Elephas maximus indicus: one gene and its partner. The protein of the gene in region 1 binds, or shares a complex with, the protein of each later gene. Links are inferred from orthologs where the notes say so. Each region holds a gene or a part of one and is shown in the gene's direction. Other genes may lie near its edges.

The links. Proteins that work in one complex are often made in the same cells at the same time.
Region 2: LAMTOR4 (region 1) and LAMTOR2 share a complex: the UniProt entries of both Homo sapiens proteins name them as parts of the ragulator complex. The link is inferred for Elephas maximus indicus from reciprocal best matches to the Homo sapiens genes LAMTOR4 and LAMTOR2.

What each region holds. Positions count from the first base shown.
Region 1 is NC_064830.1:91,691,958-91,699,063, forward strand, and holds the start of LAMTOR4 (ragulator complex protein LAMTOR4), read left to right. Parts: upstream 1-4,098; 5' UTR 4,099-4,195; coding exon 4,196-4,198; intron 4,199-4,679; coding exon 4,680-4,760; intron 4,761-6,505; coding exon 6,506-6,623; intron 6,624-6,960; coding exon 6,961-7,058; 3' UTR 7,059-7,106. UniProt on the Homo sapiens protein: As part of the Ragulator complex it is involved in amino acid sensing and activation of mTORC1, a signaling complex promoting cell growth in response to growth factors, energy levels, and amino acids.
Region 2 is NC_064821.1:193,862,160-193,869,849, forward strand, and holds LAMTOR2 (ragulator complex protein LAMTOR2), read left to right. Parts: upstream 1-4,680; 5' UTR 4,681-4,769; coding exon 4,770-4,837; intron 4,838-5,115; coding exon 5,116-5,278; intron 5,279-7,045; coding exon 7,046-7,135; intron 7,136-7,406; coding exon 7,407-7,463; 3' UTR 7,464-7,589; downstream 7,590-7,690. Other genes in the region: UBQLN4 (ubiquilin-4), read right to left, coding at 388-650, 1,227-1,444, 1,832-1,983, 3,498-3,605. UniProt on the Homo sapiens protein: As part of the Ragulator complex it is involved in amino acid sensing and activation of mTORC1, a signaling complex promoting cell growth in response to growth factors, energy levels, and amino acids.

The sequences.
Region 1 (7,106 bases):
CAGACCCAGCGAGGCTATGTGCTGGTGGCGCTCTACCTGAGTAGTATGGCTCAACCTGTTGAGAAGTGGTGTGGGTGGCACATGGGGCTAGGTGGATGGGAGAAAGGAATGGAAAGAGGGGAAGGAGACAGAAGACACCAACAATCAGAGAAACAAATATAATAAATAAATAAAAAGAACAACAACAAAAAATATGATGGTGGTGGTGGTGGCAGTTGGAGATGGAGCAGAATTGGGTGGCAGCAAACTGATGTCTCTTTCACCAGGTAGCACAGCACAGCCCATCAGGAAGGGGTGCAGGGCCAAGGTGAGAGGGAATGGATGCAGAATTTGGAACAAACTCTTTCATATTCATATTGCTATTAGTAATTTCAGCACTGCCGGTACTACTACAATGATTTGCACCCATTAAGCTTGAGTATTCAACAGAAGAAGTCTCTACTAATTCATTACATTTTTAAAAGGAAGTTAATTTTGGACTTGTTTTTAGGGATTCACAAATCCTTTTCTTTCTATCATCTGTGAGCTTTCATTTTTGCACTCCACTTAGTTGTTGCCATTTCATTTTACCTGGATATAAAATTATGTCACTTTTGAAATTTGGTTCTAACACAGCAAATAAATATGAATAACTGACAATAAATAAAACTTATAAAACAAGTGAAATTTATATTTATTTATAAAATAAATTTTACATACGAATTTGGACATTAACACAAAAATTTATATTTGAAAATAGGTAAAACAATTGATTTGGAACATGTAATTTTGTTCTTCAGGTCTGAGTCAAAAGAAATAGTACTTACAAGGCAATAGGAAGTAATTTCATTCGTTTGTCATACAATGTTTGTTGGCAGGCCCTCTCCAGATCTCCACAAGTGTTTTTCCCCTTGAAATAACACTTAAAAACGTGCATGCTTACTTTTTCTACTTTGATGCTGCGTCTTCATGTTCATTGGACTACTACTGATACCCAACCAGGGCGAGAGCAATCGCAAAGAGCATGATACAACTACAAGGGTATGCTCAATCTGAAGAAGTGTTTTGGTTAACTTTGTGGGACTGGATACGTCATGAGTCACGTGATTATTGTGCGACTGACACGTTCTTATGTGGTCCACGAGAATTGAATATGGGGTTATACCCAATTGATGCGAAATGAAAAGAAAATATGATTGTTATTGTACACAAAATTTATAAAATGGTATCAATTTCATTTAGTGCACTGCCAGTTCCCTTCCACTGCAGCACTTGCTTTTCCTTGTGCCCTGTCTGCTTAGCATTACAGATCTTTGCTTTGGACAACTGGTACCCCTGTTTTGTTGATGCCCTAAGCACGTGCTTACCTTGCTTATTAGGTAATCCAACCCTGGTGCCACCCAGTGATTTTTAAGGCCAGGAAGGTCTTGTAAATTAAGTGTCTCCACGGAATTTTCTCTCTCTACATCCCCTTCCAGTTTAAATTTTATAATTTAAATTTAGATCTTCTCTCATTTTTGTAAAGGCATCCACCTTCTCTAATTAGCTGTTTCTCCTCAAGCAACAGTACTTATTTTTTTTATTGAGATATAATTTGCCATTTCAAAGTGTACAATTCAGTGGATTTTAGTATGTTCACTAGGCTATGCAACCATTACCAGTCTATAATCCCAGAACATTTTTATCACCTCCCAAAAAAGCCCTGTACCCATTAACAGTCACTCCCCATTCTCTGTCCCATCAATCCCTACCCATTGTTATCTAGTCAATTTTGACTCATAGCCACACTACAGGACAGAATAGAACTACCCCATAAGATTTCCAAGGCTATAAATCTTTGTGGAAGCAGACAGCCACTTCTTTTTCCCAAAGAGCAGTCACCAGCCCCTGGAAACCACTAATCTGCTTTCTGTCTCTATGTATTTGCTTATTCTGGGTATTTCGTATAAATGGAATCACATGGCTTCCTTTGTCTGGTTTCTTTCATTTAGCATGTTTTCAAGGTTCGACCACATTGTAGCATATATCAGTACTTCACTTCTTTTGTTGTTGTTATTGTTAGGTGCTGTCCAGTCAATTCCAACTCATAGCCACCCCATGTGACGAGTAGAACTGCCCCATAGGGTGTTCTTGGCTGTCATCTTTACTGAAGCAGATTGCCAGGTCTTTCTCCTTCAGAGCTGCTGAGTGGGTTTGAACTTCCAACCTTTATGGTTAGCAGTCGAGTGCTTAACCATTTGTACCGCCAGGGCTCCTTCCATTCTTTTCTCTCTCTCTTTTTTTTTAATTATCGTATTTAAATGAAGGTTTACAGAACAAACTTGCTTCTCATTAAGCAACTAGTACATATATTGTTTTGTGATGTTGGTTACCAACCCCACGACATGTCAACACTCTCCCTTCTTGACCTTGGGTTCCTTATTACCAGCTTTCGTGTCTCCTGCCTTCTAGTCCTTGCCTCTGGGTTGATGTGACCCTTTAGTCTTGTTTTGTTTTATGGGCCTGTCTAATCTTTGGCTGAAGGGTGAACCTCAGGATCCTTTCATTCTTTTTTATGGCTAAACAATATTCAATTGTATGCATATACCACATTTTATTTATTCTTTCATAAGTAAATGGCTATTTGGATTGCTTCTACTTTTTGGCTAGTATGAATAATGCTGCTATGAACACTCATGTGTAAGTTTTTGCGTGAACATGTTTTCAAATTCTCCTGAGATATACCTAAGAACAGAATTGCTGGGTCCTATGAGGAGCCCTAAGGAGTCCTCGTGGTGTAGTGGTTAAAGTGCTTTGCTGCTAACCAAAAGGTCAGTGATTCAAACCCACCAGCAGCTCTGAGGGAGAAAGATGTGGCAGTCTGCTTTCCTAAAGATTTACAGCCTTGGGAACCCTATGGGGCAGCTCTACTCTGTCCTATAGGTTCGCGTTGAGTCATAAACAACTGGAAGGCAGTAAGTTTGGTGTGGTTTGATGAGGAGCCCTCGTGGCACAATGGTTAAACATTTGGCTGATAAAACCAAAGGGTAAGTGGCTTGAGCCCGCCAACAAGTTCACGGGAGAAAATAACTGTCGATCTGCTCCCATAAAGATTATAGGCTAGGAAATCCTATGGGGGCAGTTCGACTCTGTCATATAGGGTCACTGTGAGTAGAATTCGACTCAGTGGGATGTAACAATATTATAATTATATTTTTAACATTTTGAGGAGTTGACAGACTGTTTTCCACAGTGGCTGCACCATTTTACATTCCCACCAGCAGTGTATGAAGGTTCCGATTTCTTTACAAGTACTTATTATCTCTGGAATTATCTTTATTTTACCTCACCAACACTGCCTTAGTCCCTTTAGTATTGCAGCAGCTCTGGAAAGTGTCTATTCCTATGTTTACACATATCTTGTGATAAAACCAAAACACCCGTTGCTGTTTAGTCCATTCCAACACATAGCGACCCTATAGCATAGAGTAGAACTGCCTCATAGGGTCTCCAAGGCTGTAAATCTTTGGAAGCAGACTGCCACATCTTTCTGCTGCAGAATGGCAGGTGGGTTTGAACAGCAAACTTTTGATTAGCAGCCAAGTATTTAACCAGTGCACCACCAGGGCTCCTAGCATTTTGTGATATATGAAGATACCTCGCTCCAAGGTCCTGTTACTAATTTTTCTGGGCAGAGAATATGCAGTATTTTCTGTTGGCTGTATGGGGCGGGGGGGCACCACTTTGAGCATCCCAGTTGCCTAGAGTAGGCATAAGAATACCATTTTGAATAGGTTTCAGAAGCATGATTTTATTTTATTATCTCCTTTTAGGGTGAAGAAATCTGAAACCCAATAAATGTTTTCGCTTCGGGTCGCACTCTAGGAAGCCAAACCCAGATTTTACCCCGTGAGCCCTCCTTCGCGCAATCTCAGCCCTACCCGCTCCAGGGCCTTCCCCGCTCCTCTAACCCCTACACACACTTCCCCCTCCTCCTGGCGTTCAAGCTCTGAGGGGCGGGATACGGGTGTTAAAGAGGGTACGTGACCAATCCGCGCGCGTCTTCGCAAAACGGCGCTTCTCACTGGTAGATTCGGTCTGATGATGTAGCCCATGCTCCAGTCATGCTGGGGGCGGGGCCGAAGTGCGGCGGCGCCGCGCAGGAAGCACGTGATCTGGGACTCGGTTAGGAAGCTGCCCCTCTGGTAGGGAGTGCCCCCAGCACCTAAAGCTTGCGATGGTGAGTGAGGACGCATGCGCGGGAGTACGCGCTGGGGGTTCCGCGTTCCAGTCCCCCAACCTTCTTGGTTGCCCCTTCCTGGGCCTGCACCCCACCTTCACCGCAAGCCACCCCGGGACTGGAAGAGTGGAGACGGGAGGGACTAAGGACAGAGAGTGCTGGAGGGGCGGGGCACGAGGGGAGTTGGAGGGTCTGATGTGAGGGACCAGTGGGGCTGTGAAGACATACTGGGGTATCACATCAAAGGTAGGATGTGAGAGGCCGAGGGAGCCCACGGGCAGAGGGAGATAGAGAGGACAGACGGAGGCACAGAAGGCAAGGGAAAGCTCAGTGTTTGAGGCCAGGTAGAGGGAAGGGTCCTGGCTGGGGAAGAGAAGGCCTGGGGGACTGTCATCAAGAGAGGGCCTTGGGTTTGCAGGTCACGGGTGTCGAGGGCCACCTTCCTGGCGTGCTTCTCACTGATTGCTCCTTTAACCACTAGACTTCTGCACTGACCCAGGGGCTGGAGCGAATCCCAGACCAGCTTGGCTACTTGGTGCTGAGTGAAGGCGCAGTGTTGGCGGTGCGTTCTGGGGAAGGGAGGGGATCCCCTAAGAACACATCGTCCATCATCTCTTACAGTATTGCCCATTTTACCCGAATTTGTCTCTATTCTTTGTTATCACCTAGTAGCACGCCTAGTGTATAGTAAGTTTCAGTAATCCGTCTCCAACTTTCCTGAGATAAAAGAGGCTTACTAACTCTATTAAGGGTCACAAGTTTGTTGGTAACTGATATTACCTGAGTTATTCTCAAGTATGTATTTGGTATTTATTGACTAGGCTTTGTATTTTGTTCCATAGTACAATATAGTGTTAGCTTTCTAGAAGTTTTCAATTTAGCTAAAGAAACAATGCTTAAAAGGTTAAAAGTTGAAAGCAGGGTGAGTGGTAAAGACTACTGATGAAATCAACCCTTCATGTTATATTATGTAATAACTTGTGTTATGGTAAGGAAACTGTCTTGGAGGTAGAAATCCAGGATGGGTAGTTGTGAAGAGGAAGAGAGTTCTTTGGGGCTGGGAAGTGGACATATTTGCAGGTGTGTGACACCAACCTGTCTGATTTGGTGGGTGTCACATGGAGAAGATTTGGAAAGGTTTGGGGGAAGAAAAGGATATTGTAAAGAAAGGACCAGATTGTGGAGGACTTTCAAAGCCAGATTTGTACATTTGGACTTAATCTTGAAGGTAGTAAGGAGCTATTGAAGGCTTTTGAACGGGAACACTACCTGATGAAATGCTTTAGCGAGATTTTTCTGTTAGCAGTGTGAAGATGGAGTAGGGGGTGATGAATTTTCAAGACTGGGCAGTAAACTAGGTATGAGACTGGGCTGGTGGCAATGAGGAGCGAGAAAATAAATTTAGAGGAGGAATGACTAGATATAGGTAATGGAGGAGATACTTCTCCATCTAGTAAGGCTTTGAACTCATAAACCTGGAAGAATGATGGTGCCTCAACAAACAGGAAATGAAGAAAGGAAGTTGATTGGGGAGGGTGGGAAGTACAGGGAATTCCATGTTTTGACTTTAAACATTGAGTTTGGTGTGGAATAACAGCAGTTAATGTAAATGGTAGGAGCTGTTCTAAGCATCTTGCCAATATTATTTAATCTTCATAATAAGTTTATAAGGTACTGTATTGTTCCCAGTTTGCAGATGAGAGAACTGGAGTATAGAATGTCCAAGGGAGCGAAGTGCAGTAAACTTAACTTAGTGGGAGGCCCATATCAAGGAGGTGGGAGAGGAAGTTGAGATAGTCACCAGAAAAAGAGGAAGCCCAGGCCACTGTCACAGCACTGACCCAAGGTCTGGGTAGTAGGGAGAGATGTCAGGACAAAGGGGATGGTTGTGCTCCAGATTCTGCAAACAGGGCAGTAAATGGGAAGACAGAAAAGACGGATCTTCTAACAATTCAGTGGTCATTTTCAGGGCTGAGTATTGGTTTTCGAGAATGTAGTTTTATCAAATACTTGGGGACAGGGAACAAAGTCAATTTCCAAGGGGCTAGGAAAGAATGGTCAGTAAAGAAATGGATGAAGAATCATCAGGGGAAGCCCAGTATTATAAGAATGAGAAATAGGATGACACAAAGAGGAAGCTATAACACCAAGGAAGGTTTTAGTTGTTTTTCCAGAACTGGGGTAACCTAGGAATCTTGCAAAGTGAAGAGGGAGAGGTTCCACACACTAGAGACAAAGTGACTGCCTGGAATTCCTTCCCAATTCTCTTCCCTCATTTCTGCCCTCCTCCCTCCCACCTGCGTGCAGTCGTCTGGGGATCTAGAGAATGACGAGCAGGCAGCCAGCGCCATTTCTGAGCTGGTCAGCACCGCTTGTGGTTTCCGGCTGCACCCGGGCATGAACATACCCTTCAAACGCCTGTCAGGTGAGCCCCCATCTCTGCCCTGGTGGTGTGGGGGGAAGGGGGCTTCTCCCAAAGGCTGCTGCTTCTCAGGGAAAAAAGACTATCTCCTACCAACTCTTCTGTCATCGCCTCCTGGGGTCGCTGGTTCTGGCCACTTTCTTCCCTTTGAGGTCCCCTCCCCTGGACCAGAGTTGATATGAGCAAGAAGGGGACTTATTGGAGGCCTCTCATCTTTTGAGCCTTGAACTATAGAATTTCTTTGGCTTTTGGTATCAGCCAACTTCTGTGATCCCATGGAGGCCATCGCACCACACTAACCCTGTGCTCCCTTCCCTCTCCTGGGGCGTCTCTCCTCCAGTGGTCTTTGGAGAACACACGCTGCTGGTGACCGTGTCAGGACAGAGGGTGTTTGTGGTGAAGAGGCAGAACCGAGGCCGGGAGCCCATTGACATCTGACCCTGCGAGAGGGGAGGGTCGGAGAATGTGGATTGGGTCCATGAGCCG
Region 2 (7,690 bases), on another chromosome or scaffold:
TTTCCAGGCCTTTGCACTTGCTGTCCCTCTGCCCTTAACACTCTTCTCATTTTCTTCCCTTCGTTCATTGTTCTCCTCCTTTGGGTCTCAGCCTGGATGATACTTCTTCCAAGAGGCCTCCTGCCCTTCTCTGGGCTCCTAGGAGGATTCTGTGATTATCACTATAATAGCACCTACCACACTATATTATAATTGCCTGTTAACCTGTCCCACTTCCCGCCAAGAAAGCTAGGCCTGTGTCTTTTCGTCACTGTACCCCCACTGTTTAACCATGGCTGCTGAACGGATGAATAAACAAATTAATGTAGTACAAGGTAGGAAAAGGCTGGGCAGGGCAAGGCTGGGCTCCAGGTGTTCATCAACTACCTGACCTTCTCTTGTACCCACCTGCCTCATGAGCTCAGGATTGTTGAGCATATGGCTGATCTCAGGGTTCCGCTCCATCAGCTGCTGCATCTGGGGGTTGGCCATGATCATGTGGCGCATCAGGTCAGGGTTAGACATCATGTCCTGGACCAGGGGGTTCTCCATGATCTGCGACAGCATCTCAGGGTTGGACATCAGCTGCCTCTGCATCTGCTGCTGCAGCTCCATGAAGTTGGCAGAGCCCAGGCCCAGGCTGCCCAGCCCCAGGATGCCCCCAAAGCCAGCTGTGGGGAGGGGACAGGGTCACATTCTACTCAAGTGGCCTTTCCCCTACCTGGCCAAAGGTACTGAATACAGATCTCCAGGGTGGGCCCAATCTTTTCTCTGCTTCTCACAGCTCCCTTTTCCACTTACTCCCACAGCCTAGCCCTGATCCACGCGAAGAGCCATTAGACTGAGACCTCTTGGACTGCAGAGGCTTAGGCTACCCCAGAGCTGAGCACAGCACCTAGCAAAGAGCGGGCAATCAGTGACAGTCTAAGTAAATAAATATTCCCTATCCTGGCTCCTGCTGGGCCTATCATTTCTCCAAACTCACAGGTTCTTTTAATATCCTCACCCAGGGTTCCCCACGTCCCCAGCCCCATTTCTCCCCTCACTCTTAATACTTCCCCTCCTCCAGGAAGCCCTCACAGAGTAGTCTCCTCCCTGGTTTGGCTCAAATACCAGTGTTTAGAGCCCTGTGTCCAGGGGTCACCTACCCTATCAGACCAGGATCAGGGACCATATTTCTCCCTCCTCTTGACTCTCCCCAACTCCCAAACCAAAACAGCACTGTGTTCTCCTTTCTAGGGGCTTACAGAGTATGGATGCAGTTGCACTGGGGGGTCCCTCCCCAGCCCCTGGGGAGGGCCCCCCCCCACTGCTCCTCCGGCTTCCACTGCCAGCATCTGAAGTGGTGCTGCCAGAGGTGGAGGGCTGGGCAGGGGTGGCGGGTGAAGCAGGCATGGTGGAGGGTGCAGAGGCAGGGTCAGGAGTGGAGGGGGAAGAAGCAGTGGTAGCAGCCGGATCTTGAACCCTGAGGACAGAGAAAGGAGAATCCTGGTTGGAGTATACACCCCAAGAACAAGGAAGGCACCACAAAGATCAGACTGCTCTTTCTTGGCTGGGCAGTTACTACCCTAACTATGACCCTCAGGCAGGAAGAGGGAGGGGAAGGGGAGGTCAGTAAACTAGGGAGTGAGGGCGGAGCTAGTATTATCTGTCTTCAGGGCATTCTGGGAGGGGTAAATCAGGATCCCTTCGGAGGTGAGATTATAGCCTGCCTGAAAATTCATCCAGGAGCCACCTTCCCAGGCCTTGGCATAGGCCCTCTAGGTTCGGATGAGCTGATGGGTGAGAAAGCCTCAGATGTGGAAGTGAGAGGCCCAATCAGAAGCTGGGCCTGCTTATCTCCTGAACTTACTTCTGAGGGGTCTTGATGACCAGATGGACAGTGAGCCCATCCTTGATCCCATGCTGGTTCAGTGTGTCCCCATCCTTGAGGATCTTGCCGGCAAAGATCAAGACGAGCTGGTCCTGCTGGGCCTTAAACCTCCGGGAGATTTCCTCTTTGAACTGGGATCAAGAGACAGAGGTCCTTGTGGAGGGTGCCTGGGCTCCACCCACTAGGGACCCTGCCTCTTCTTTAAGAGCTTTTGCATTCCCTTGCTCCCACCTCTAGTCATGGGAAGTCCTTTCTTCAGTCTCAAGCTGCAATAAACAGCTCCTTTCTTACCCAAGGAGATGGATTATTGAGAGGCTCCTCTCTCAGTTCCATCCCAGGGTCTTCTACCCTAGAAAGTCCTTGCTGCTATCTGCCATCCCACCTCCAGTCTGTCCACCCAGCTTCCTGTGAGGGTGCTGCCTGGGCAGCCCTCCTCATCCCAATTCCTTAAACAGCCTTGGACCCAGACTGTCTTCCTTCAGTTTTTTCTTCTCAGACCTCAAGTTTCCCTCCTCCGCTTAGTCTCAGTTTCTGCTCAGTTCAGCGTTCCTGAACTACAACAAATAGATCCCAGTCATTGAATATTTACTACTCACCACTTAACCGTCTAAGTCCCATAAGATACGTACTAATGACTAGCTCCATTTTAGAGACGAGAAATTTGAGGATCAGCGAGGTTAAGTAATTTATCCTGAGCAGAATGGGAATTGGGCTTTGACCAGGCTCTTAACCGTTCAGACACACTGCCTCTCAATTGGAGCTGATTTCAAATTCAGCTGTGCAGGGAAAAGGATTTAAATTCTGGAATGGAGTGGTTTTATAAGGTTGGGAGGCAGTGGTGGCACCAAGGGCTGCCTGAGGGAGACCTAGAATCCCCAAACTCTATCAGCCCCTCCCACTAAAAAAAAAACACTCAAGTAAAAACAGTGCACTTGCTAAGCAAAGACAGTTAAGACTCCTCTTCCAACCAGAAAGCCTATCTTAAGCCCCGCCTATGTGAAATTTTGGAGCAGCCACTGGGGGTGAAGAACACAAGCGATATTCTATATTTCAACAATTGTTTATTGAGCACCTACTGCACACTGCGTAAAAACCTGAGGAGCTGAGAATCAAAAGAAATCACCTCAATTTGAGAGTAGAAAGGATCTGGGCAGAGGAAAATCCTCTCCCCACCGCCGCAGGTTTTCACCCAAAACGCTGGGAGTCCTGGGAGGCATACAGAAGGCGCCTGGCGCTCTCGGCTTGCGCCCTGGCCCCTTCTGGCTCAGCACCTTGCCGGTGCCCCCCGCTCAGCCTTGGCGCCTCGAACCCCGACTGGTCACCCGAGCGCACACTCCCCTCAAACCCAGGGTCATTCCCTTTTCCCGGTGCAAGGTGCCCCCTCTTCACTCTCCACCACGCCCCCAGCCCTGGCCACAAGGCAAACCCCGGGCCCCCCCCACGCGCGCGCGCCATGCTCCCCCGGATCTACCCTTTGCAGGGCGCCCCCTACCCGCCTCTCCTTCCTTCCCGCTCCTTGGGGTCCCTGCTGACCCCCTGCTCTTCTCTCCAGGGCCCTCCTGGTGGTCCCGACAGTCTCTCAGAGACCCCCACATCTCCTCACAGACCCCCCTCCTCCGCGCTCGGTCCCCGCCAGCCGTACTACCTCCTTGACCGAGGCTCGATCGCAGATCACAATTTCCTCCTTGTCCTTGGGGGTCTTGACGGTGACCCGAATGGGGGGCCTCGTCTCGGCCCCGCTCGGCTCCGCCATGCCGCCGCCGCCGCCGCCACCACCCGGCCGCCCGCCAGCCCGCCCCGGCTCCTCCTCCTCCTCTTCCCCGCCCGGCCGGTCCGGCTCGGCTCGGGCGCCTCCAACACTCCCCTCCCCTCCCCAAGGCTTCACCGCCCCCTCCGGACCAGCCGCAGCCACAGCGCCCCGGGCGGACCGGGGGGACCACTGCAGCGGGCCCGCCCAGGGCCAAGCCCCGGGTTCGGGAGCCTGGACAGGGCCTTGCAGGGTAGTAGCCCCTGGATGGGGCTCTGGGCGGGAGCGGGGCGTGTCCTTCACTCGCGGGGCGGGGAGCAGAGGGCGGGTTCCGGGCGAGAGACCACCGCCCACCCAAGCTGGCCCGAGCCGCGCCGCGGTCCAGTCTGGCCCAAGGCTGACCCCGCCCCCTCCGCGGGTAACTCCCGCTCCGGGACAAAGGACTTTCTGTGTCGCCGCTTTATCACTGTGCCCTGTGATAACTTGGCTTTTCCTGAGAGGCCCAGATCCCTTCCAGGCCTTCTCTTGCTCGATTTGGAGGTTGAATTTTTTCCCACCTCTGGACGTCCGCCTAGGGTCTCATATCTAGGATTGACCCTGTTCTCCCGAGGGTCGTGACCCGAATGAAGGACTGTTAAATACGGTGTCAGGGATCTGGCCTTTGCCTAGGTGGCTTTTCTGAGCCTAGGTTTCCTCAAGCTAATAATGCCTATAGCCTCATCCCACAGAATCGTGCATAAGATAGAAAACTGCTTTGGAAAGTAACCAAAGGTGTGCTTGACAAATACAGGGATTCTATTGTTATTATTATTGAATCGTGGGTTGCTAAGCGGACATGACGCCTTCTCTCTCTTCGAAGGGGTTAAATGTCCTTCCAGTACTTCCAAGGGCCTTTTACTCCCGCTCTTTTCCCCCATAACCTCGTGGACTGACTGGAAAGGCAAACTATAGTTCCCAGGGTGCCTCGCGAGGCAACAAGGAACTACAATTCCCAGAGCCCTCCGCGGTGGGAAGGAGTTAAAGCAGACCCACAATAGCCAGGCCAAGAAACTACAACTCCCAGGATGTTTCGGGGCAGGGGAGCTGGGCTACGGGGAGCGGCAGGCGGAGCCCAGCGGGAGGAAATCCAGGGTATCTGAGTGGAAAAGCCTTGGGTTAGGTGCTGCAGGCATGCTGCGCCCCAAGGCTTTGACCCAGGTGCTAAGCCAAGCCAACACTGGAGGCGTCCAGAGCACCCTGTGAGTGCGGACTGAGGACTTGAGCGGCGCGGGGCTCTCAAAGGGAGGGGTGGGGAAGGATCGCCTGGAAGGAAAGAGGCAGCAGTGGGCAGCATCTGGGGAAACCCGCCGGGAGAGGCTTTTCTAGAAAAGGGAAGCTGGCGTGCTGGGTGTTGGTGCAGGTTCCGGGACATACTCAGCCCAGACCCTTGCTTCCTAGAAGCGCCAGTTGCAGGAGTTGGGGTGGGAACTCAGGCGTTTTTTTCCCCTGCTCTAAGCACGTTGATATCCCTCGCCAGGCTGCTGAATAATGAGGGGTCGCTGCTAGCCTACTCGGGTTACGGAGACACGGACGCCCGGGTCACCGCGGCCATCGCGAGTAACATCTGGGCCGCCTATGACCGGAATGGGAACCAAGCGTTTAATGAAGACAATCTCAAATTCATTCTCATGGACTGCATGGTATGGAAAGGGGAGCCTGGCTTCCTCTATCCCCCAAGGGGATCCCCAGGGGGCTACCCAGACCCCATCCTGGATGGTTGGAGGGCCAGGAACAGGATCTCCAAGTCTTAAGAGGTGATCTGCAGCAGTATTTATAAGAGGCAGGACCTTATTCATTAAGTGGTGGTAAGGAAGGGGTTCTGGGCCAGAGGACTCACTGGGGTTCTGGTCTCAGCCAGCCACTTAAAAGTTGTGAGACCTTGGGTAAGTCATTTGACCTCTCTGAGCTTCCTCATCTTTAAGGTGAAAACAATAACACACATACCCTTGCCCAACTTACTGGGTTCTTTTGAAGATCAAATTAAAGAATGGATATAAACTACAGAGGGATGTGCAGACTCAAGGTGTTGTCATCCCAAGTTCACTGACTCACAAAACCATAAAGTTGTCAGGGTCTCCAGACCCTAGTAGAACCCTTTTAGTTTACAGAGAAAGGAAATGAAGTCCAGAAAGGGGAAGTGGCTGTTAAGACTGTGAACTCCATAGGAGCAGGGACTGTCTTACCTTTGTATCTCCTTATTCAACAAATATTTACTAAGTCTCTGCAGTGTTTGGGGGAATAGCAGGGAAGTAGTGAACAGGACAGACAAAAACCCCAGCCCTCAGGAAGTCAGTAAGTACGTTAGGTGGTGAAAATGCTATGGAGCAAAATAGTGTCAGAGACAATCTCACTAAAAAGGTAATATTTGATTGAAGATCTGAAGGAAGCTGGGAAGCAAGCCATGTGGCTATCTTGGGGAAGAACATTTCTGACAGAACAGCAAATGCAAAGGCCCTCAGGCAGAATATGCCTGGTCAAGGAACAACAAGGCTAATGGGATGGAGTGGCATGAGCATAGGTGAGTAGTAGGAGATGAGCCCCGGAAAGGCACCTGACTCCCAGCCCAGAGTGGGTATCTACTGAAGGTTTGCTGAACCAAATTAAATAGGCCCCAAGAGCGAACTCTCTAGGAAGGGTCTCCACTGTAGCTTGGCTACCTGCTTCATTCCTACCCTCTGAATGTCATTTCAGTTTAACAGGTGACCCCTAGGGTACCTAGTCCACAGCTAGTGCTATACGGCAATGATTGTCAAAACTTTTTTTTTAAACCACAACCTGGTCATAAAAAATACATTTTATGTCACAGCCTAGTACACACACTCACTGAAACAAAAGTTTCGGGAGATGGTACTTCCCTTACCACATGCAATGCTCTTCATTTCTCTTCCCTCCATTTTTTTTTTTCCCCATAAATGCGGATCAACCTTTTAAATAGATCTCTTAACCCTGTAGTCAAACTTGCAGTTTGCAAAGCATCACTAAGGGAAAAGAAGAGAAATATAAGTTGGGTTACTGCTCCCAACTCCCTCACAGTGTCTTGGGTTGAGCCCATAATAATAACATCTCCCATCTGGACAGCCCTTTGCAGATACAAACTCCTTAGTGTATACTGGCACCCCCACCAACTGGAGTGAGGTAGGGATTATAGAAAGAGAAACCAAGTTTTTGGGAGATTAAGTGAGTTTCCCAGAGCAACTTGGTTAAAAGATGGCTGTGCTGAGGCTAGAACGCAGGCTCAGGACCCCATGTCCAGGGCTATAGTCAAAGCCCCCCAGTTGAACCTCCTGCTGTACCCAGGGCGTGCAAGGAAAATAAGTCCCTCTAGGGCCAGAGGAGCCCTTTGGGAAGGAGGAGGCTGAGAGTGCCAAGCAGAGCATCGCATCCCATTATATCCCCTCCCCCACCAGGAGGGCCGAGTGGCCATCACCCGAGTGGCCAACCTTCTGCTTTGTATGTATGCCAAGGAGACCGTGGGCTTCGGAATGCTCAAGGCCAAGGTGTGTATGCGCCCATCACCCATCCCTCCACAACCCCGGGCCAAGCCTTCATGCTTTATCATCATGTCCATTCCCACCCTCACTACCTTTCTGGGGCCTTCCCATGTCCACCCAGTCCATGCCTGGTGTGGTCTAGCTCCCAGGAGCAGACTGAGGCTGAGGCTGAGACTGGGTGTTCAGAGCATATGGCATTGGGGGGTATAGGTCTTGGATCCCATATTGCTCTAGTGGAAGGCCAGGGTGGGACTGATAACTGTTCCCCCTCTTGCAGGCTCAGGCCTTGGTGCAGTACCTGGAGGAGCCCCTCACCCAGGTAGCGGCATCATGACAGCTATAGACGGAACCTGGGATCAGAAAAGAGAGATGACCATTTGGAGGGGCAGGGCCCCTTGGGAAAACCTGCCTGGGCTGTGGTGGGAGGATGAGACTTTGTTTTTCCAAGAATAAACTTAAACTCCTATCCTGTGTTTGGCTACTTTCTTGGGTGGGAGGGATGGGAGGAGGTGGGAAGAGCAGGGATCGCTAGTAGGATTCCTCATGTTCTTCAAAGCAGAC